3 linked regions of the Arabidopsis thaliana genome follow. The protein of the gene in region 2 interacts with the protein of the main gene of each other region in a pairwise test. Each region holds a gene or a part of one and is shown on either strand. Other genes may lie near its edges.

Region 1 (7,958 bases), about 17 Mb from region 2:
CATAAGCAAGAGGAATTATAGGTACCAAAAGCATTACCATGATTTTTTTTCTCTTACCACTAATTTTTACCATTGATTGTTGTTTTTTTTTTAAATAACATTTTCTTTGTACCATTGTCCTTTTCTTTCTTTCTTTCTTTTTTTCTTCAACCATTATCCTTGTCTAGGAGAACTGAAAGAATGGAGTTGCATAAGAATATGGGCATAGCAACTCTTGGGAAAGAAAGAAAATAAATGATTTCTAAACAGACTGTATATGAAATCCAAAATTACTGACAAAATCAGAGCTCAAGAAAAAGTGGCCCACGATAGAATCTTTGAAGTTAGCAGAGTTTAGAGCTGCAGAGTCACTAGATATGCAAGATATATTATCTGACAAGTAAAGTAAGAAAAAAAAATTTGTTTTATAGTTTCTTAATTTCTTTAACTATGTTTCCTCAAATAATCCTTAGGTACTAATTAAACTACAGATGTTTTCAGACAAAAATTAGACATGATAAAGAAAAGTTAATATCTCCAAAATTAGAAATTTAAATTTAATCAAAATGGTAACAATCTTTGCATGAAAAAAATCATGGAAAGTGTCGAGTGAATCCATTGGTTCATAGAATGAGAGTCCTTGGGATAAAAAGAGTTGATACGTGTGTGTACATGGTCCTCATCATTATCGTCCTCCCTTTTTCAATCTCTATTACTTTTCGCAATTCTTGTTCCTTAGCTTCTTCATGAAAAGCCCACTCGAGTACTTGAAAGAGTTTCTAGACACTCAAAAACTCAACTGTCACAGTCTCCAAGCTTAATCAAGCCTTTTTTGGTTTCTTTTCAGCTTTTTTGTCTGACTTGTAAGTCTATTATATTAACCAATTTACTCCTATATCTCTCTCCGACCCCATTTTGGCTTTTTCCTCTCTCTATCTCCTGAAAATTTTACTCTTGCTTTTTTTTTCTTTTCCCTGTCGAGAGAGTTAATATTATTGTCACATTACAAGTTTTGGTACCATGACTACGTGGAGTCTTTCTCCATCACACTCATGCTTCGAAGAAACCATGTTTTAGCAAGGAGGTTTAAAAACACTACATAGAGTGTGTTCTTTACACATTTTGGGTCAAACAATCCTGAAAATTTACGACATATATTTGGAATGGCCTACTTGGTAATGTGTGGATTAGATTCATGAAAGTGAGATATGCTGCAGTGAATCCGGATCTACGGCTTGATATGATAATGGCTGCCGTTACCAGATAAAGAAAATGAAGCGAGTGATTTGACAAGACAAAGACTATAGACAAAGACAAGACTATGTCTTCTTCATAAGTAAAAATAACTCTCTTGTCTCCTTTCTCTCTTTTAGATATTTCTTCTGCAAACTGTTATCACTTCCTATTCTGATTCTCTGCTCTGCCACTACACAGCTATTTGATCTGAACAACTCAGGAACCTTGAGATAGCTTAATATTGAATTGAATTCTCAGATAAACATTGAGAAAATGGATTTTAAGAAGAAGATAGAAGGAACTTTCTCTCTTTCGATTAAATGAATCAATCCGTGTTGTTGTAAAATGTTGACATCACAAAACTAAAATGTAAAGAATCGAAGAAACAAACCTAATTCAACAAACAACCTACAGAGGAAAGGCAAGAGAATCCGAGAAGAAAGAACAAAAATGAAAAACAAAAAGGTTACTTATTCATAGGAGGAAGTTCTCTAAATTCTTGCCTTTGGTAATCAATCTTTGTGTGGCTTTGCTTCTCTGTTTCTGCCAAAAAAAAGAGATGTTTTTGGCCCAGCTTTTCATTAAGACAAGAGTCAGTTTGGCCCAGCAAAAGAGACTACTTGCCTGTATATCCATAGGGGAGAAAATATAAAACATATATATAGGGGGGAATGATGAAGAAGAAGTAAAAGCTTTGTGTGTGTTTAGTGTTCTAATTTTTGTTTCGTTTCTTGGCTTCGCTGTACAGGATAACTCCACAGACGGTGAGGGAGTAACCCAGCATTCCGGTCACTGACACCGGATTCTTGAAGATTAGAATAGAGACCACCACTGCTACTGCTCCTTTGGCGTTTCCTAGCACCTATCACAGAGCGATCCAAAACGACGTTTTATGAGTTTATGTGAATCATATCTCAAAAGTTCGTTTTGAAACGCAGGGAACATCAAGCATTATCATACACATAAAAAAAGCAAACCCAACTCAACATCCAATACAAATGACAGGATCTCACTAACAGGAGGACCAAGCAGATAATCGTTTCTCACTAGTTCTACACTTCCTTGGACTAACTTTCTTTCAACTCCAACCAAAACCCGTATCATTTTTTCTACCATAAACAATGATGCCACTAAGAATGTAAAAGGAATGTGAACTGTAATCACCTGTAAAGTCAGGGCGCTAGTGTGGTTTGTGACTAAGAAATTTGTCAAGTTGACTAAATAGGCGAGCGCTGAATTGAATAGAAGATACCAAACGATTCTGAAATCATCTCTTGCAAGTGCAATTGTAATGCCGACAACATTTTTCTCCATGATAAGAGTAGCAGGCAGAAGGAGCACGACAGCTATTGGAGCCATGTAAAGGAGGAGATTCATGGAGTTCAGCTTTTCCCTTCAATACAATATTTAGAATCTTTTAAGCAACACTCATATAAATACTTGAACTATTGATATATAGACCTCTAACAAGGCGACTACAACAATACCAGCCATTTCTTACCCTTCAGAAGAAAGCAAAATTCCTTGAAGCACTGATTTAAGTGCTCTCGCAGCTGTTGCTGCAATGCACATAAGGAATCCAAACAGGTGAAAGCTTGGCTCACCCTGACAACACCCATAAATTAAAGAATATCAAGCATAGAATCAAACACATCACACACACAAACAGAACAAAATCTCCATTACTCGAACTTTTTTAGCATAAAGTTCACATGGTTAAGAGAAGATGAGAGAAACACAAAATCTAGCGAATACAAGCACAAAACAATACCAAATTTTCTCATGTGAAGCATAATTCAACAATGTCTGAGCTTGTCACAAAGATAAAAGCTAGCATCATTGGCCAAACATGAAACTGAATCAACGATATCACGTTCATTGCTCCAGAACCATACCTATGTTCCCAACATATCTAGTTCATTGCTCCTACATCACATCTACATCAACCTCTCTAACAACTCATCCAAAAGCATACATAAGGGATTCAAATTTAAGAGGTCAAAAGAAGTGAAAATACCCCACTAGCAATAACAACTCCGGTGACGACAGGGACGAGAGTGAAGTAAGTCAACCAAGCCTCTTTCTTACGCGTCATCAGGTAAGCAAACACGGCGGTGAAAAACGGCGTCGTAGCACCAATGGCTTGGTTAAACGAAACAGGAAGAAAGCGGAGAGAGATGTTACCAAAGACCACCGACACACAAAAAACGAGACTTAGAGCTGCGATCTTAAAGAACTGAACTCTGGATCGAATCGTCTGCATCGGAACCATCTTCAACCAAGCAATGGCGACGTAGCTGAGTAACGAACAAGCCGTCATGTGACACATGGTGAGAAAGATCGGGTACTTGAATCCGTAATTGCTAAGCAAGTACTTGTTCAGCAACAATACACCAATGTTCGATGAGTACCAAGACGCGACTAGCCCGATTGTGAAAAACCGGCCATTCGTCGCCATCTTCATCGCTTTTCTTCTTCCTAATCCTGGGTCGACTCGATCTGATGAGATGAGATTCAAACTAAAACCCTAACGAATTTCACGAAATTGGGATTGGTGGGAATCGAATCTGGACAGGAGATGGAGATCTCTCGGTCCTCCGATACAGAATTTTGACGCGTCGTGATGATGTTATTCCATCAATGGGTAAGATTTGGATTAGGTTACAACACGCGAAAATGCTGGAGACGAAGAAACCGGGAAAGAGAAGAAAGTTGGGATTTTTGGAGAAGAAGAAGAAGAAGCTCTGCAAAAAGGAGAGATCTTTGGGCTAAAGCTGCAACAACACTTCTCTTTCCTTTTTTAACTAATTTATTTTTTCTTTCAGTTTCATGATATTATAATTGGTGCGTTATGTAATGTTTCTTTGGGCTAAAGTTTTTTTTGTTTGGTTACTTGAAAAATCAAAGTGTGAAGATGTGTAACAATGAAGGAAAGGAGCCATTGACTTTGTTATTGGTTATTACCGAATCTGAGTTCTAAATTTAATGATTTACGTTCATATACTAATCCTTGAAAATTCCTAGCTAACGAAACATTTCAGTTCTGAGCATATTTAATTGACTAAGTAAATCGACCACGAATCTAATTGTAATTAACAAAGCGTTTGGTTAGTTAGGCAATCGATTTTACATTAATTTTTCTAAAAATACGAACTATTCAGAGAAAAGCTTATCTAAGTAGCAGAAGTTTGGCAGAATTATGATGAAGTTGAATAAATTTAGCAAACGTTTTTGACAAAGTGGGTGTTAAGTCTAGTGGTAGAAGACCAATAAAAGCTTTATTAGTGGTGTAGCAAAGGGAAATTATGTAATATACAATAGTTTAGAATCGATGCTCGATTCTTAAGTCAAAACAATGGTAGGATCATCTGCATTTGGGCTTGATGTTATTAGCCGTTACAACTTGTGAAGATGAATTACAACTCGTATAAATAACAATGAAATTTGCATATGAATCATTTAGATTCAAATTTGATTTTATAACCACTCAATTTCACATTACATTAGCCACTTATAAAACAAAGGATTTTTCTTAGGAATCTCGCCATATCCATAAATACCATCTTCCTTTGCTTCCCAAGTACAATTTCTACATCTAGAAGAATCTCTAACCGCTTTATAAATATCGAACACACCTTTTTTTACTTGTTCTTGGCTAAATCCACAGAAGTAGAGTGTCGAATTCATAAAATTCACGTAAAACATCCAACCATATAATCCACCTTTTTGTAGAATATGGAAGCCATGATCATCATCTCTTGATTTACAATGAACTCCTAAAAGATAATCATTGTCATTATAAATCACAACCCTAGTAAGAGGACCTTTCATTGGAAATACTTTTCCATCATGTTGTAGAGTTTCACAGCCTATCAAAGATATTAATACTATAAAGATGATTATAAACATTGAGTAGAAAATTGTTAGGAAATTTATGTTAGACGAATTCATCATGAAGATTTTCTTAATCATGATATTGCATTTTCTAGAACTTATAATTTATTTATATATAATGAGCTAACTTTACAAAAAAAATTATAATTTACATTAATTTATGTTGAATAACCTAAAATAGTCATGAAATCACTAGAAGTTTTTGTGAAGTAAATAAGAAAGTAAAAGTTGCTTTTTGTTCCCAAAAAAAAAAAAGACTAAAAGTTGCTTAAATAACCCAAAATATAATAGAAATACATCAATTAGGTTAGGTATTCATATCCAAAAAATTAAATTGACAGTAATGATCCAAAAAATAGTAGATTTATTAGAGGTGGGTCTGTCTAGGTGTCCAGGTGAACAAGTGAGAGGAGAGAGTTAATAGTTTTGTCTGAGAATCTGACGATCACTTAACTCCAAAACCCAGTGGCAATCATGTAATTTTACTGTAAAGTTTCAACCAGAAATCTCTTTTTTTCTCTCTCTCTCTGCGCTGCAAAGCATTGATCATCATCATTCATCATCTTCACAAGTCTCGTTTTCATAATTTATATGAGGATTCGTCATCCGGGTCTATACGAATATGGAATCCGTACAGCCACATCTCGAGACCTTTGTCTCTGTTAAAGTAATCAATAGCTCAAGTGGCTGTGATGGCGATGGAGAGCCTCGTCGGAGCTCCGGTGCGGTGGAGAAGGAGGAAGAAATAGTGAAAGATGAGGAGAGGAGATCCAATGCGTCGGTGTGTTCGGTGGAAATAGATCTGGAGCTTGGATTGCCTGAGAAAGTTGTACATTTGTCGCAATCTGAGAGAGATTGCAGGATTTGTCACATGAGCTTAGATGCAGCGAATCTTGAATCTGGTGTTCCCATTGAGCTTGGCTGTTCTTGTAAAGCTGATCTCGCTGCTGCTCATAAACACTGTGCTGAGACTTGGTTCAAGATCAAAGGAAACAAGTAAGTTCAAAATCTCCATATTTCTTGAGAATGGTTGTTTGGTGGTTACTTCCATTAGGAGTACGTAAAAATCTAAGCTTTAAGATAGTTTAGGAAAGGCTAAATGACTAACATTTCCATTGATGTAGGAAAGTTTTTTACTTTCTTTAGGTTATTGTCACTTTTGGTTATTGAACAGCTTTCTTTTGACTGTCTTTTTGAGAAGTTTCAGTTTTGAGGCCATTTGTTGTCAGATGAGAGACGCAAAGCTTAGCTTTTTCTTTCTTTGTGATGAGATTCATGGTTTGGTTTTGCTTTGCAGAATCTGTGAAGTTTGTGGGTCGATTGCGGGTAATGTTGTTGGAAGTGTTGAGGTGGAGTCTGAGGAAAGCCGGAATGAAGCAAATGGTGTAGAGAATCTAACTCTGAGAACATCTGGTCCACGATTGGTGGAAGGTAGAAGCTTCTGGCAAGGTCACCGGTTCTTGAATTTCCTTTTAGCTTGTATGGTCTTTGCATTTGTTATCTCATGGCTCTTCCACTTCAATGTTCCTTCTACATAGCAACACAAGTAATGTTCAACTCTCCATAAGAAGAAGAGATTCATTAGAGATCTCTCGGAAAGGTACTTCACTCTTGTACCAATGCCTTTTTTCACTATTAAGTTTGATGTAAGTTTAGAGAGGAAGAACAAGACCTAGAAGAGCTCATTATGCTATTTGCGGGTTTAATTTCTATCTAGAATATGTAAATCTGTTTCTTGATTGCGGATGATGTATATAGCTCTAGTCACTCTTAAGCTTAATGCAAATGCAGTCTTGTGAAAGTCTCTTCTCTTATCTCATTGTATTATGAATGATCTGATCACTTGCATTGCATTTTGCATCCCAAGAGTTCAGTGATTTACAGAGGAACTCAAAAACCAAAAATAGAAAAAATCCTCTGTTTCCATGTTGCAATAGATTAAAAAGGCTATGTACAAAAACCGAAACTCAGGCCATGCTTTTATGTCTCTTCAGTGACCTCTGATTCATCTTCTTCTTCCACAATTGCTAAGACCTTTGAGGAACTAATCCTCAAAGAAGCGCTTCGGATTTTCATAGGCAGCTTCTCATTATTAGCAGCTAAACCACATTCGATTTCTTCTTCTTCATCATCGTCCTTCTTCAGGTCAGAAGGCGGTAAAAAACAATCCATAGACAGACCCTTAATGTTAAAATCCATTTCCTCAATCTCCCAAGTCTCTTCCATCCGAGTCCTCGAATGATTATCCGAGTTCTCACCAAACCGAAACAGAGACACCGAGCTTTTACCAGCGTGTGCTACCAAGATACCATCAACGGTCCTGTAATCTTGGATCAAAGACTCCATTGTTGTCTCCCAAAATATACTGTTATCGTCTTGAGCTTTGATTCTTAGAAGGTGAGAGTCTTCAAGTTGAATCAAAAGACCTGTTCTCTGGCTGAAACATCCCCACACAGTGTGCCGTATGATCTCAACATTGCTGCTGCTTCTCGCCTTAAGCGCCGATGGCTCAGCATCAAGTTTGAGTATGAAACAGTCTTCATCATTTATCTTCTTCTCTCCCATGCATACTGATCTTGCAAATAGATTAGCCGTTGATTTTGGATCAAGACCCTGTTTCATTTTGTTTCAACGATTAAGGTCTGAAACCTTTGTAATGATTCCATTCAGACAAGTACTAAACACAAAGATACTTGAAACAAGTCAACGACAAGTAACTTAATTCATCATTATTACAAATTTCCCAAAACAAACAAATGCTATTGGTTTGGTGACAATAAAAGAAGATCTTATTAGGTTGTAAATAACTATACACTTGGTAATGGGAACAAAAGTCTACTTTGTTATAA
Region 2 (6,868 bases):
AGAGCAAAAAGAACAATGTGAGCTTTTAGTTACCTTCTTGCTTAGGTTAATATTCAAATGGAGGAGATCACTGTTATTGTTGTTGTTGTTTGGATCAAGACATTTAAAGCAATCCCAGATTTTGACTGTTTTATCATTACCACCAGAGATTAAGAATCTACCTTTCTCCTGAAACAGAGAAAAGGCTACACAAGAAACAGCAGAATTGTGTCCACCAACAGAGTAGTCTAAACAAACCCTTTTGACCACATTGTTGCTGCTGCTGCTGCTACTTCCTTTTGATGATGTTCCTTTTCGGGAAAGTTCTGATTCGATATTGATCAAATTGACAATTCCATCACCTCTAGCAACCGCACATATCTTGTCTAACTTATCAACCATGTCCATTTCCGGTATTGCTATTGAGTGAACAAACGCAGGGTTTAGGCATTGTCCCGAGTTATTATTTGTATCAGATCCTGAAAGATTACAGAAATGACTTGCAAAATCAGATTTGTTGCATATATATATGGCTAAAGAAACCAGAATTAGTGGCATAGTCTTTACCAAAGTCTATAATCTTTTGCGAGCGACCTTTTGAGAAATCCCATAAAACAAGCTTTGAATCAAGTCCACCAGTTATAACTGAAAGAAATTAGACACTTTAGAAGAGATGTGTATATATAATAACAAATCACAATAAGATATTAGTTACCTTCCCAAGGTCTCCATGGAATGAATTGTACAGAACTACATATCTTATATGTCTCATTAAGGTGTTGATTTGAGACATTTTTTCGAGGCTAGTAGAGTTTCATAGACGAGAATGGGTAAAAAAAACGAAGTAAGGATACACTTGTGTGACCAGCTCTAAGGGTTTTATAAAGGCATTTCTGACCAAGGTCGATGATCTGTGTACAAGCAAACTAATCAAACCGAGAACCGTCCCACCAAAATTCATGTTTATGTAATCTTTAAGAGTTTTAAGTATTAAGAACAACTATTGAGTGTACCTTAACATCGCCGGAATCATCTGCAGAAGCAAGAAAAGACGACCTTCCGTTACATACTACCTTTAACAAATCAAAAGATGTCAACATCAATGTCATAGGTAAATATGATAACTTTTTCGAAAAGTCGAGTTTTTAGTATCTCTACCTGGTTAACTTCATCTTTGTTGTAATTGTAACTCTCTAATGGCTTCCAAGAAGTAGCACTTAGCTATGAAATTGCATAAAGAGAGAAGCTTTAAAACTAAGTGAAGGATATGGTTATAGTTAGTTAATCAAAGTTTGAACATTTTAAATTACCGTATGAACATCGAAAGACTTGATTTCGTTTCCACAAGAAGCATAGAGAATGTTCTCATTACCTGAAAAATCAAATAAAAGTTATCACCAAATTGCAACAAAGAGAAGAAATTGAAAGAGAGAGAAACAGACAAAACACAAAGAGACAAAACCTGTCTTGAAACAAAGAGATGAAACTGGTTCTGTTCCAACATCGATGATGAATTGAACATCTTTACATCGCAAATCAAACCAGCAAATGCAACCATCCTATAATCGTATGATCGGAAAACTATGAATCTTGCGAAGTAACTACAATAACGAAACCTAAATTCATCGGAAAAAAGAGGTTTGAATTAGAGATTAAGAAACCTCGCCGGAAGTGAGAACAATTCCAGGCCGGTCACGAGAAGCTATACAACAAGTGGCAGTTGATTTGTGGCCTCTCAGCTTCCTTGGCTCTTCCATTGCCGTAGCCATAACTGTGAGTGAGAGTTTCTCCGGCGATTGCTCAGTTTCAAGCTCTAAATTGAGCTAAAAAAGGCTAACCGAAACAAACCAAAACTAAACCGGATATTTTGGTAATCCTTCGGTTTTGTACCAAAAAAATCGAAACAACAAAATTCCAACCTAACAGAAATCGATTTTAGTACCACTTAACCAAAATGAACCGATACGGTGAAACGAAATCAAACCGAAAATTATGTTCAACCAAACTGAAATCATCAAAGGCAGAAACTATTTTTATCTTTTCTTTTCAACAATTCTATTGTTTGAGATAAATATAATTTAGGGTTCTGAAAATTTGACATAGCATTTTCAAACAATAACATTGATAGATCAGATAAATAACAGAAATACACCAAATGGGCATTACTCAACCTAAAAGCAATCTTCATATTCGATAGAACCGTTAACAAAAACCGATCCTTAGGTTGTTAACAATAATTCTACTCTCTGATTAGTTCGAGCAGCATCCACCTTTCTTCACAGCTGAAACATCTTTACCGATATCGATCTTGTCTCCTTTCGATGGAACATTAGCGGATTCGCTCGCAGCTTCCATCGCCTTCTTGCTCACAATGTGGTGAATCTGAGTGAGGACTTCGGCGAAAGCGTTCTCAACATTGGTGGCTTCGAGAGCCGAGGTTTCCATGAAGTAGAGAGATTCTTTCTCGGCGAATGACTTAGCATCTTCAGTCTGAACAGCCACGAGATGGCGAAGGTCAGATTTGTTGCCCACGAGCATGACTACAATGTTTGGATCAGTGTGGTTTCTGAGTTCTTTCAGCCAAGTCTCAACGTTTTCAAATGTTGAGTGTCGGGTTACATCGTAGACAAGAAGCGCTCCAACAGCTCCTCGGTAATACGCACTAGTGATGGCTCGGTACCTATTGAAACAAAGTCAACGAAACAGAGAATTAAGTTAACCGAAACATCAGGAACACAAAAAAGGCAAGAAGCTTTACAGTTTCGAATTCAGACTATGCACGCTTTACAAAACTGATCAGAGAAATGGAGAATAGCAAATCATACAAAGCAAGAAGCTTTTCAATTTTGAAATTAAGACCAAGTAAAAGCTTCAAATGAAAGTTTAAGAATCCAACTAAAACCAATCAAGCTCTCTTACATAAATAAACTAAGCAAAAACAACAGAAGAAATCGATAATGATTGAAGAATCTTAGGTGAAATCTGAGAAAGAAGAGCTAAGAATCGTAGAAATGAAGTTACTGAAACCAATCAAGCTCTCTCACATAAACCTAAAATAGCAAAAACAACAGAAGAAATTTGATAAAGCTGATAACTTTATAATCATAATCATAGGATTCTCCTATCTTACACAAAACCCAAGTTGTCAAAATCACATACTAATCCAGATCTCTTCTTATAAAAGTGATCAATACCAATGGATCTAAATCAATTGATACAGATCTAACCTAAGCTGAAAATTTACTGTCTTTGGCAACCAAACAAAACCATAAACCCCAAAACTTCAATCAAAATGTTCTAATATAAGAAACCAGATCGAGAAATGAACAATGTGGTTGAAAAAGATGAGACCTTTCTTGACCAGCAGTATCCCAAATCTGAGCTTTGATGACTTTATCATCAACATTCAAACTCCGAGTCGCGAACTCGACCCCGATCGTGGATTTTGACTCGAGACTAAACTCGTTCTTCGTGAATCGTGAAAGCAAATTGGATTTGCCCACACCTGAATCACCTATCAGAACAACCTTGAATAGGTAATCGTATTCATCATCTGCTCTGTAACCCGCCATTGATTCTCTCCTTCAAAGCTTTTAACTTTACTCCTTCAGATTCGAGAAAACAAAACAAAGAGAGAGATAAAAATGGGTCCTTCTTTTCAAAATGAAAAACCCAAATGAGATTTGAAACTTGTTGCTCTTTTTTCCTTAGATTTTGTTTTGAAAATTTTTTCGATTTCAACAGAGAAAGACGCGGAATTGGAAAATATCAAACGAGAAAGACAAAGGACTTGTGTACTGTCTTTATCACAAAGAAATCTAACATTTGTGTGGCCAAATTTACTAAACTGCCCTGTTAACGCGTTCTGATCTATTACCTTGCTCGCTTCGATAAAGACGAGGACGTATTCGTCAATTCACATTTGTCTTTATCTTTTATGTTTTTCTAAACTGATTAAAATGATAAAAAAGAATGCGTCTGCCGGGAGTCGAACCCGGGTCTATTGCTTGGAAGGCAATTATCCTAACCGTTGGACTACAGACGCTGACGATTAATTCAAACAGATATAATATACTAATCCAGAATAATATGACGTGGCAAGTAAAGTGACTATAAATAAAATCGGGGAGATCTGTTTTCACTTTCTTCTCTCTAACAAACTAAGGCCTTGAATGGTACTAGTTTTTAAAGTTGATTTTGGCTTTTGATTTTACAAAATCCACTTTTTCATCCATTCATGATTTTGTAAAAAGTTAATTTCCTAAATTATAGGGAATTCAAAATTTAAAAGATTCTAGTCATTTGTTCTTAAAATCCAAAATTCACTTTTTTGGGATTTTCAACAAATTCTATCGTAAACTCTTTTTTTTTTGTTTTTAAAAATAAAAATAAAGTTTTAAATAAATAATTTTAAAACGTTTCTAAATAATAATTATATAAAAATCAAAAACTAGAAAAGTTACCATTTAAGATTTTGCAAAATCTAAAATCTCCACCAAAATCAAAAACTCATAAAATCAAAAACAAAAAACCAAAAGCCACAATCCAAAATCCAAAAACCCACCAAAATCAACAAAACATTCATGGCCTAATTTGGCAGTCAAAACAGAATTTGACCTTGAAGACGACTCTTGCAGACTTCTCCGGCGATTCTCCCGCCGTGAAACTCTTATCGGCGGCTATCTTTCTCCGTTTCGTTCCCGACGGTCGAGTTTGTACTGGCATTTACTTTACTTGTTCGAAGCGACTTCCAATTTTCACCTAATCAAACGCGACTCTCAACGGTTCGAGAATGGGTTGTATCGGATCTTCTCAGGCCAGAAATGAAGGCGGAGGTTAGTGGAATCGATACTCTCTTAAACCTTTAATTCCGCACTCCGTTTGTCTCGCTGAATTTGTTCTCAGAATTTGGGCTACGATTTATACTTGTGTTGTAATGTTTTGATTCTTGGTGATAGTTCTAGTTTTGAGGTGTTAACATGAACTAATCTTGCAAATGTTATGATTCTTGGAGTGATTTCGAAGGAAATATCAGTTTATTGTGGTGTTGACATGTTTGTGATTCGTTAAAGATTCCAAATTTTGAAGCTCAGAATTAGTTCAGCAGAGAATTAGAATGCTCTTCAACATTGTTTCTACTGCTCAGAATTAGAATGTTGGATCAGAGAAAGTTGTTATCGATGGTATGATTGAAATGAAATGGCCGTTTACTAATGTTATAACATTCCATTTTTACCAAGAAAAATTGTTCTGTGAACAATAGACAATATAATCTGATTCGTTCTGCCTTATACTGTATTTGTTGTCTTGATGAAATTGAAACTGTGATGATCTTCTGAAGTAGATGGCTATAATATTGGTGTTACTGAAAGAACTGTTTTAAAATTGGTGGTAGTTTATATTGTATCATTCTCTTATGAGTTTTGTACGTTTGACACAGCAAAAAGGAAGAAAATCATGAAACCTAAACCGTGGGCACATACTGAGCCAATCACAAGGGCACAACTTACGAACATGCGTGAGGAATTTTGGGACACCTCTCCACACTATGGTGGTCAAAGAGGTATATATATATCTCTCTTTCTTGTAATCTGCTGCATCGCACTATGTACATTTGGAAACTGAGCGAAATTTACTGAAAACCAGAGATATGGGAAGCACTTCGAGCTGCTGCTGAAGCTGACTTGAAACTAGCACAAACTATTGTTGACAGTGCAGGCGTGATTGTTCAGAACCGTGACCTAACATTGTGCTGGGATGAAAGAGGTTTGTAATACACAATTCTGATTCGTTTCTCTCGTTTCTTGTTTTGTTACCTTAATGACTTGCTCTTATTCAATGCAGGTGCTAGATATGAGCTTCCTAGGTACGTTCTAAGTGAGCCCACGAATCTGATTCGAGAGGAAGGACAGTAACTTCCAAGAACATTGACACAATACTTAGTAAGTAGTAGAAGAGGACTAGAAGTTGAAGTAAGTCTCTCATATTCAATACTTTTTGCAATTGATAGTGAATAGAAACACGGTATATTAGTAGGAGACACTCTCTGTATAGTTACTGGAATCTAAAGTGAGAGATGGTGGTTGAGGTACAAATGTACAGAGCCAAGAGTTGTGAACTTTTGTGGTCAAAATGATCTTATGAAGTCTTTTTGACAACCAGGGGCGGATCTACGTTGTGGGTAGGTAGGGCACGTGCCCTACACAAGGTTTATAAAGTTTATCTTGGAATACAACTGATATATTTGAAGCTAGCGTTAGTGGTTGTGTCCCCACACTCTTTCAATCCGTGCTTGGGTTCGAGTCTAGGTAGCAGATACCTTTTTTTTTTTAACATTGTCTTTTTCTTCTACCACAAACATTAATTTGAATTATCTAATGTTACACTTAGCTCAAACTTCCTTATTTAGTTAAAGTTTATGTTGATACTAGATAAGGCCCGCCTATTTAGGCGGGTGTACCGAAAATTTTCAAATACTTGAACGGGTCTAAACTTCAAAACCCGAAAAACTCGAACCCGAACCCGAATAGGTATCCAAACATATTTCAAATATAAGTATATATTAGTTATATTTACACTTATATATAGAAAATATTAGGATTTTTTGGATATTTTAGTTATTTTTGTGTCTTTTTAGATATATTCAAGCAAAACTACTGGTGTTGTTTTGAGAATTTTTGAAATTTTGAAGTAATTTAATAGATTTGCACACAAAATTTGATATTTCAATATATAAATAAACTCGAATCCGAACCCGAACCCGACCCGAAATCTTAAACTACCCGAACGGGTCCTAAACTTCTAAACCCGAAAACCCTAACCCGAAATACCCGACCCGAATACCCAAACGCCCAGGGCTAATAATTAATAGAAAAAAGAAATCCACAAA
Region 3 (8,066 bases), about 18 Mb from region 2:
TTACCTTCGAGGGTCCATTCAAAAATTAGATCTTCCAAATCTGCCGGCGATGAAAACATAGAGAATAATAGTTCACAGAGTCAGGAGGAACTCTTCCGTGAATTCGAGGACATTCTAGTGACATTCTTCAAGCAAATAGACAGTGAACTTGGTCTCGACTCTCCTTATGATAGTTTTTGCAGCGGTACAACTGCTGTAACTGTCTTTAAACAGGTAAATCAGCAGTCTCTAAAGCTTTATGAGTTTTTTAAGACAGTTGATCAAAAAAAATTGAAAGATGTTTTGTCAAACATTTTGCAGGCTGACTGTTTGGTGATCGCCAACTTGGGACATTCACGAGCCGTTCTTGGCACCCGAAGCAAGAACAGTTTCAAAGCTGTCCAACTCACGGTTGATCTGAAACCCTGTGTCCAACGTTAGCATCTTATCCTTTTCTTTTAACTTAGGGCCTAATAAGTAATAACTCTTTGAAAAGTACCAAATGTTGAGTTGGGACGTACAAATAAATCTCCTGAAGAACTTTTCGCTTTGATTTCTGTAAACAGGCGAAGCAGAGAGAATAGTGTCATGCAAGGGAAGGGTGTTTGCTATGGAAGAGGAACCCGATGTGTATAGAGTGTGGATGCCTGATGATGATTGCCCGGGGCTCGCAATGTCAAGGGCTTTTGGTGATTTCTGCCTCAAAGACTATGGACTTGTCTGCATTCCTGACGTCTTCTGCAGAAAAGTCAGCAGAGAAGACGAGTTTGTGGTTCTAGCTACTGATGGGGTAAACAACTTGTACAGCTTTCAGTCTTCTGACAAATGGATTCCCTACTAAATGGTTTCTGCGTGTTCTTTGGATGAACAGATTTGGGATGTTTTGTCAAACGAAGAAGTGGTGAAAGTTGTAGGTTCCTGCAAGGACCGGTCAGTTGCAGCTGAGATGTTGGTTCAGCGAGCCGCTCGGACTTGGAGAACAAAGTTTCCAGCCTCAAAAGCTGATGACTGTGCGGTGGTGGTGCTTTACCTAAACCACCGGCCTTACCCAAGAGAAGGAAACGTGAGCCGAGCAATATCAACTATTTCCTGGAGATCAAATAAGAGCAATAACGAGTGTTATGGAGCCGCACCATTGTCACCATTGGGTCTATCCCAAAGGGTTTCATAGTAGGATAATTGTTACTGTTGTTGTTTCTAACTGTTTAGTAAAATTTGAACCTGTTGAGGTGTCGATATTACTCAACATCAACTTTATTTGTGTGTGAAATAATTTTGTGTTCTGTTTGTTTTTTGAAGCTATTAAAAAGTAAAAAGAGTAGACAAACTAATGGACTTGGTCTTCTTTTCCGCAAATCCAAATTTCAACCTCACAGTTGTTCAAGATTCATAAGTTCTTTTTGTGCAGCAAATGCATTAACCTGAACAGCTACAAAAAAAAAAGTAAAGATGGTAAGTACTTAACTAAACCAAATGATTGAACAATCTGTTAATCTCTGTTGAAATTTCATTGGTGATCACATGCTCTGGAATGATTTGAAAGATATAAGTAAACAAGATATCTTCTTGAATGGTAGAACTTTTTTAGAAAAAAATTTGTATTCAATATTCTACAAAAGGCTGTACAAATCCATAAACTCGGGGAACGAAAACGAGATAAACGGTCACCAATCTCATTGCTGTACGGCGAGAACCGAAACAGAGAGCTCGAGATCTTTGGAGATCAACACATCTCCAACCTCTCCTAACTCCTTCATATCGCTCCATTCTGACAATCCTTCCAACATCAAAAGATTTTCTTCGTGTCTTATCCCGACCATCATCAGATCGAAGTCGTCCCCTTCCTTCCTTAGTAGATCCAGTAGATTCACTGCTTCCTCTATTCTTACCTTTAAGAATGTTAGAAACAGGGGAACACATTATGATAGGTTAGATAAAGAAAAACCTCTGTTTCGTCTACACAAGAAACTTTCTAAACCGAATAGAAACCTCTGTTGCATAGAGAAGGTTTCGTCTAAGGGGAAATAAGATAGCTTCCAAGCCAAGGCAAAATAGTTCTCATTACCTCTCTGAAGATGATGTTTTTCTCGGAATTTTCTTTGCGGAAGACGTTGATGACTCTCATGTCGTGATTCCTCTCGACCATGTCTCTGAGCGGAGAGACGCCGTTCTGGTCCACGAGCCGGAAGACTTGGAGCTCGACGCTTGGATGGCTGGCTAAGCGTGTTGCATACGCAAGCATTTCACGGTCATCTGGTCCTCCTAAGAAGATAGCACCAATATTGATGGTAAGCTTTTTCAGTGGAACGAACCTGAAATCTGGGAGCCTTCCTCTGTCTATGAAAAGCGCAACAGAGCAGGGACAGTTGTGCAGGAGATTACGACACAGGAGCCTCTCCCATAACTCGATCCCGGCATCAAGAGTTAGGATCACAATATCTGTTTCCTGGTCAAAGGCAATCGCACACACGTCCTCGTGCATCGTCTTTCGCGGTGCCACTGCCGTGAAGCACTCTATCAACACGGTCTCCTGATTAGTCTTCTCGAAGTTGTGGAAGGCCTTAACGATCTGGTCCCTTCGGCTAGGCACGAGGAAGGGACTAATCTCTTGCGTGTGATGGATAAGGAGGGGAAGACTATGGTTATTAAGCTCTTCTAGATTCACCGCGAAGACTGAGAGAGGAGACCCGATGGCTGGACGAGAGAGTTCGACGAGGTCAAGCACCGGGCGGACCGCCTCACGGTTCCGGAAACAAGTGAGGATCCTTAGGGGAGCCTCCACTCGGCAGTGTTGCACCGTACGTCTCTTGTAAGGGTTGCGTTTGCTCATGGTTTGGTACAGTTTCTTCACTATCACTATGAAAATTGTCGAGTTTACCGTTGCTGACATCACCATTGCTCCAAAAGATTTGCTTGATATTTTCTGCACCCATTGACCATTATTGATTGTTATTGACCTAAAATTATATATGTTCCAAAGTATATCCTAAATGAATTATTGTTACCGTGTAATTGAAATTCTGTTTGTATATTTGAACGTCGTAAAGTCCTTGTATATTGACGATAAACCCGACAAGAATGGCGTGCCAAAGAGGCACTTTATAGTAAAGGGAAGGCAAGGCAATGGCTATCATTTTGGCAAACCTGACCACCCCAAAAAGTAGCTCAAACCGGATAACATCTCTCCAGGAAAACAGTGAGAGATCGATATTGAGGCCAATCCCAATGACGTAGCAAGGCATCAGGACAGACCAAACAAAACAACCGATTTTGTCTGACAGTCCCGTGCCTAGAGGCGGACGTTTTGGGGTGGCTAGACCTAAGACGACCGCACCAAAGAAGTAAGGTAAACCCACAAATTCTGCCCAGAGGCAGGAGATGAAGAGCAAGACGCATATAACAGAGAGATAGGAGGCCTTGAGAGAGTGTCCTTCTGGTGTTCGATTCTTCATCCACAGCATTAGTGGTCGGAACACATATGCTATCACCAATATCATTATCATCTGCATTCATTTCCGTCTTTATATCATTAATAAAAAAGCGTATATATAGATCAAAGCAAGTTTATACTATACGTAAATATTATTGGATTCATGCATTTTATTAGGATCTTAGTTAGTTTGTCTATTTTTGTAGGAATTTACACAGTCAATTATGTTTTTATAGTAAGAAAATTGGAAGATGTTCCAAAGCAAAATTTGTAGATTAATTAAGAAATTATTTATCAACTTGGGTACCTGTAAGACGGACAAGAAAGCAGCGCGATTTTTATTGGGTAAGTCAACATTAAGTTTAATGGCGATGTTAAGCATGAAAAAACACCAAGAGAGGCAGTCATGCACCATCATGGATGCAAGTGCTAACCTCCCTGGCTCAGTGTTCAACATCTTTAGGCTCGACAAGACTCCGTAAACCACCTGAAAAAACATTGTGGACTGGACGATCGCTACATGGTGGAACTCCACGGGAGGGATCCCCGCAGGCCCGCTTTTGAGCCTCTTGGAGATCAAGATGGCCGCGAATTGGCCCCATACGAAAGGTATGAGGAAAAGTAAGATGCCGTTTATGAATGCTAACTTGCCTACTCTCTTTATCATCCTAGTGTCTACTTGACATGTTGTGATGTAGCAAATGAAGAGAAAACATATGGCCTCGAAGGATTCGATTATGTACACGCTTCTCGCGTAGAAGAATGTAGCCATGTACTGTTTGTTACGTCCTATAACGGACGGTCCTAAGCAGATCCCAGCCTGCAAACAAATTCACTATTAAATATTAAGTCACATTTACACCATTATGGGCATGGCTATACATGTTTTTGAGACGACTAGTCCATATTTTTCCACTAGAAAGCTTCCAATTATAGATGCTTAGATATGGAAACGTATACCAGCATCTGAGTGAGGAATGCAAATTTTCCAAAAGGCCGAAGAAGAAACTGAAAAGATACGGAAAATATGGAAAAGACAGAAATCTGAAGGAGAAGAAGAGGAAGAGCAAACTTGAGCGGATTCTCTCCCCGGCCAATCCCCAAAGAGCCTGCACCTACCCATGGCTCGCAAAGCCAATCAACTCCTCCGTACTGAAAAGTTTTGGTTATATTTTCCATTCCCTCCTGCTAGGTATTTCCCCTAAAGAGTCAAGCCATAGAGGGAAAGAGAGAGATTGTGTTGTGAGTTGAAGAAAAGAAGAAAGTATTAATTATTCTCTTCTTTTTTTTGTTTCTGCTCTCTCTAGCTATATTTAGGGGTTTAATTGTACATGTTGTTTATCCTCTTGTTCTTTATTTCTCTTTAGAGGTCATCCTACTTTTAAGGTTTTCTATATATGTTTTCTGTGTGGTACAAAAATCTTGAGCATGGTCAGATGATCATCATTATAGCCTGAGATTGATTGCACAAACATGTGTGTTTGTAATATATATTTTGCATGTTGATGTTATAATAACCAACCTAGCTACTAAATCCATGAAGTTAGATCCCTAACAAAAAAAGATTAATTAATAATCAACCTAGTAATACTCCTTATAAGTATTAATTTAAAAAAGATCAGGATCAACAAAAAAATAAAACTATAATAAAAAAAAAATGTGTAAAATACCAAAAAATACATCTGCCAAAGTGAGATATGACATATATAATTTCCTATTTTTCTCTGACGGTTATAATAAAGTCAACACAAAATCCTTGAAAAAACAACAAAAACTGTTTAATATCTTAAAAAAGATACATGTATCTTCTTCCCCAGCTCAACAAGCTTGATCTGTTTGCTCAATTAGTTAGCGTTATGCTGAATTCAAAAACACAAACAAAAATGGTTATAAAGAAGAACGTGAATACTAGTTTTAAGAAGAAAAAATATTCCCAAAGAGAAACAAGATGAACAATAGTGTTACAAGTAATGGCACACATGAATTTGTATGCGAGGCATGGTTGGGATCAAGCTCTGGCGGATTACTTAGAGGAGATGATCCATTGAAATATTCAACTCCTCTTCTTCTTCTTCTCATTTCTCTCGTCTCTTCTCTCTCTTCCGTCTTCCAAGCTCTTCTCCGCCCTCTCGCAAATGTCGACTTCGTCACTCAAATTCTGGTATGTAATCACTTTATCATACCATTTTCTACGTTTTTTTTAATAAATTTTGGATCTCTCTATATTTCCCGCAAAGAAAAAAAGGTTTAAACTATAGAAGTGTGATATTTTGTTGGTATATATGAAACAGGCTGGGATATTCTTAGGACCCTCGGCTTTGGGACAAAACATTGATTTAGTAAAAAAATTATTCAACACAAGAAGCTATTTCATAATAGAATCATTTGAGGCAATATCCTTCATGTTCATCTCATACATAAGCACGGCTCAAGTGGACATGGGAGTTATAAAGCGAGGAGGCAAGCTAGCAATCATCAATGGATTATCTCTTTTTCTGTTTCCTTACGTGGTGGGCGCCATAGCATGTACAGTAATCACGAGCAACATCCGTGGAACCGTGGCGAAAAATAATCCCGAGCAGCTCCACAATTTACTAACAAACCAATCCGTAGTGTATTTTCAAGTGGCGTATTCGGTTTTGTCGAATCTCAAGATGCTGAACTCGGAGCCCGGAAGGTTAGCCCTCTCCTCCATAATGGTGGCTAACTGCTTCGGCTGGGGTTTTTTCCTCCTTTTGATTACCTTTGACAGTTTCTTGCATCAAAATTACTCCAAGACCACTTATCTGCCTACCTTCACAAAGGTACTACTGCTGGTTGGTATAGTAGTTGTGTGCCGACCAATATTCAACTGGATAGTGAAGAGAACCCCTGAAGGAAAGAAACTCAAGGCTTCCCATCTATGCACCATTTGCGTCATGTTGTGCACCGCCACTTTCCTGTCTGAAACTGTAGGGTTTCCTTACGTAGTCGGATCCGTGGCTCTCGGTCTTGTCACTCCTAAGACGCCTCCTTTCGGTACTGGTCTCACTGACAAGATCGGTAGCTTCTGTTATGCGGTTCTTATGCCGTGTTACGTCATCGGGATTGGTAACAAAGTGGATTTCTTTTCATTCAATCTACGCGACATCATATCTTTGGAGTTCCTTATCTTTACCATTAGTGCTGCAAAGTTTGCCTCCATCGTCCTTCCATCGCTTTACTTCCAAGTTCCTATATCACACGCAGTGATTGTCGGCTTCATCGTCTGCATACAAGGGATCTACGATGTCCAAATCTTCAAACAGCTCTTGAACTACAAGGTACACATTGATTTAGTACAAATGAAATATCATTCATCGCCAATTAGTGTTTTGACTTTTAACTACTTGTTTTAAGGGATGCAGAATATAAGCCACGAGGCATTTGGGATAATGGTGATCTCTGCCATGGTTCACTCGACCATTTTCACGGCCATTGTCAAAAATCTCTACGGGTGGGTGCAGAGGAAACACATCACTTACCGGCGACAAACCGTTCAACACTACGAACCAAACAAACCTCTCAAGATCCTCACTTGTTTCTACCACCGTGAAACCGTTCCTCCCATCCTCACCGTCTTGGAGCTCTCTACTTGTCCCTCGAGCGCCTCTTCGCACTCCATCGTTTCCGTTAATCTCGAAGAGCTTGAGCAAAATAACGTCCCTCTCCTCATTCAACACCATCCAGGTCACAACGACGAGTCATCAACGTCTTCCAGCCGCAGAGATCAGATCTCCAAAGCCTTCGAGAAATTCCGAAGCGGCCACGATTTGCAAGAAAACGTTTCCGTTGAATGTTTCACAGCAGTTGCACCGAGCAAGACGATGCACGAGGATGTATGTGCCTTGGCCTTCGAAAAAGAAACCGATCTCATCATTTTCGGGATGGCCGACGGGACTGCAGCAGAACGAAGGCTCTGTCGCAACGTCCGGAATGCCTCACCTAGCTCCGTTGCGGTTCTAATGGACCAAGGACGGCTTCCAGATTTCAAGAACATGGGAACGGCGATGAAGAACGGCTCAATGAGAATCAACATCTGTTCAATATTCCTCGGTGGAGCAGACGACCGTGAGACACTGGCCTTTGCGGTTAGAATGACAAACCAACCTTACGTAAACCTAACCGTTCTTAAACTTGTCGACGGTGAAAACGTCTCACACCTAAACGACGTCGTAGAGAAAAGACTCGATTTCAGAACCATCGAAAAATTCCGTCAAGACACCATGAACAAACACAATGTCGCTTTACGAGAGGTAAACACACAAGTCTTGACTCCGTTTCTCCGGTTTTCAAATCCGGATTAGATTTAACCGTTCATTTTGGTCTTAGGTATGGATAAAGGAAGCGAGTGATCTGGTGAACCTACTGAGAGAGGAAGGTAACAATTACGATCTGATCATGGTTGGAATCAGACACGAAAAAAGTTTCGAAGTGCTTCAAGGATTATCGGTATGGAGTGAGATCGAGGAGCTTGGAGAGATCGGAGATCTGCTCGTTTCCAGGGATCTCAAGCTTTCTGCATCGGTTTTGGCCGTACAACAACAACTCTCCTCTGTCGTCGAGGAGGTTTAATGGCATAGAGCATTTGTATACAGTTTTTAGGTTATACGGGAGACTGCTTTCTTTTATTTTCAGA

What was found. Proteins that work in one complex are often made in the same cells at the same time.
Region 1: the proteins of RABA1c (region 2) and AT5G05820 interact in a protein complementation assay, tested with the Arabidopsis thaliana proteins (one large-scale study listed by BioGRID).
Region 3: the proteins of RABA1c (region 2) and CHX27 interact in a protein complementation assay, tested with the Arabidopsis thaliana proteins (one large-scale study listed by BioGRID).

The regions. Positions count from the first base shown.
Region 1 is NC_003076.8:1,750,179-1,758,136, forward strand, and holds AT5G05820 (Nucleotide-sugar transporter family protein), read right to left. Parts: upstream 4,184-7,958; 5' UTR 3,680-4,183; coding exon 3,233-3,679; intron 2,821-3,232; coding exon 2,717-2,820; intron 2,609-2,716; coding exon 2,380-2,608; intron 2,078-2,379; coding exon 1,928-2,077; 3' UTR 1,508-1,927; downstream 1-1,507. Other genes in the region: AT5G05830 (RING/FYVE/PHD zinc finger superfamily protein), read left to right, coding at 5,732-6,105, 6,407-6,647; AT5G05840 (replication factor C subunit, putative (DUF620)), read right to left, coding at 7,090-7,722.
Region 2 is NC_003076.8:18,556,001-18,562,868, reverse strand, and holds RABA1c (RAB GTPase homolog A1C), read right to left. Parts: upstream 3,810-6,868; 5' UTR 3,552-3,809; coding exon 3,331-3,551; intron 2,660-3,330; coding exon 2,230-2,659; 3' UTR 1,924-2,229; downstream 1-1,923. Other genes in the region: AT5G45760 (Transducin/WD40 repeat-like superfamily protein), read right to left, coding at 34-458, 547-624, 695-737, 834-890, 993-1,052, 1,138-1,200, 1,290-1,351, 1,442-1,538 and 1 more; AT5G45740 (Ubiquitin domain-containing protein), read left to right, coding at 4,772-4,814, 5,420-5,542, 5,626-5,745, 5,824-5,894. UniProt on the Arabidopsis thaliana protein: Intracellular vesicle trafficking and protein transport.
Region 3 is NC_003076.8:253,932-261,997, reverse strand, and holds CHX27 (cation/H+ exchanger 27), read right to left. Parts: upstream 4,693-8,066; 5' UTR 4,589-4,692; coding exon 4,370-4,588; intron 4,230-4,369; coding exon 3,717-4,229; intron 3,483-3,716; coding exon 2,985-3,482; intron 2,903-2,984; coding exon 2,045-2,902; intron 1,869-2,044; coding exon 1,653-1,868; 3' UTR 1,508-1,652; downstream 1-1,507. Other genes in the region: AT5G01700 (Protein phosphatase 2C family protein), read left to right, coding at 1-213, 301-415, 546-769, 851-1,150; CHX26 (cation/H+ exchanger 26), read left to right, coding at 5,358-5,570, 5,701-6,711, 6,796-7,683, 7,760-8,002. UniProt on the Arabidopsis thaliana protein: May operate as a cation/H(+) antiporter.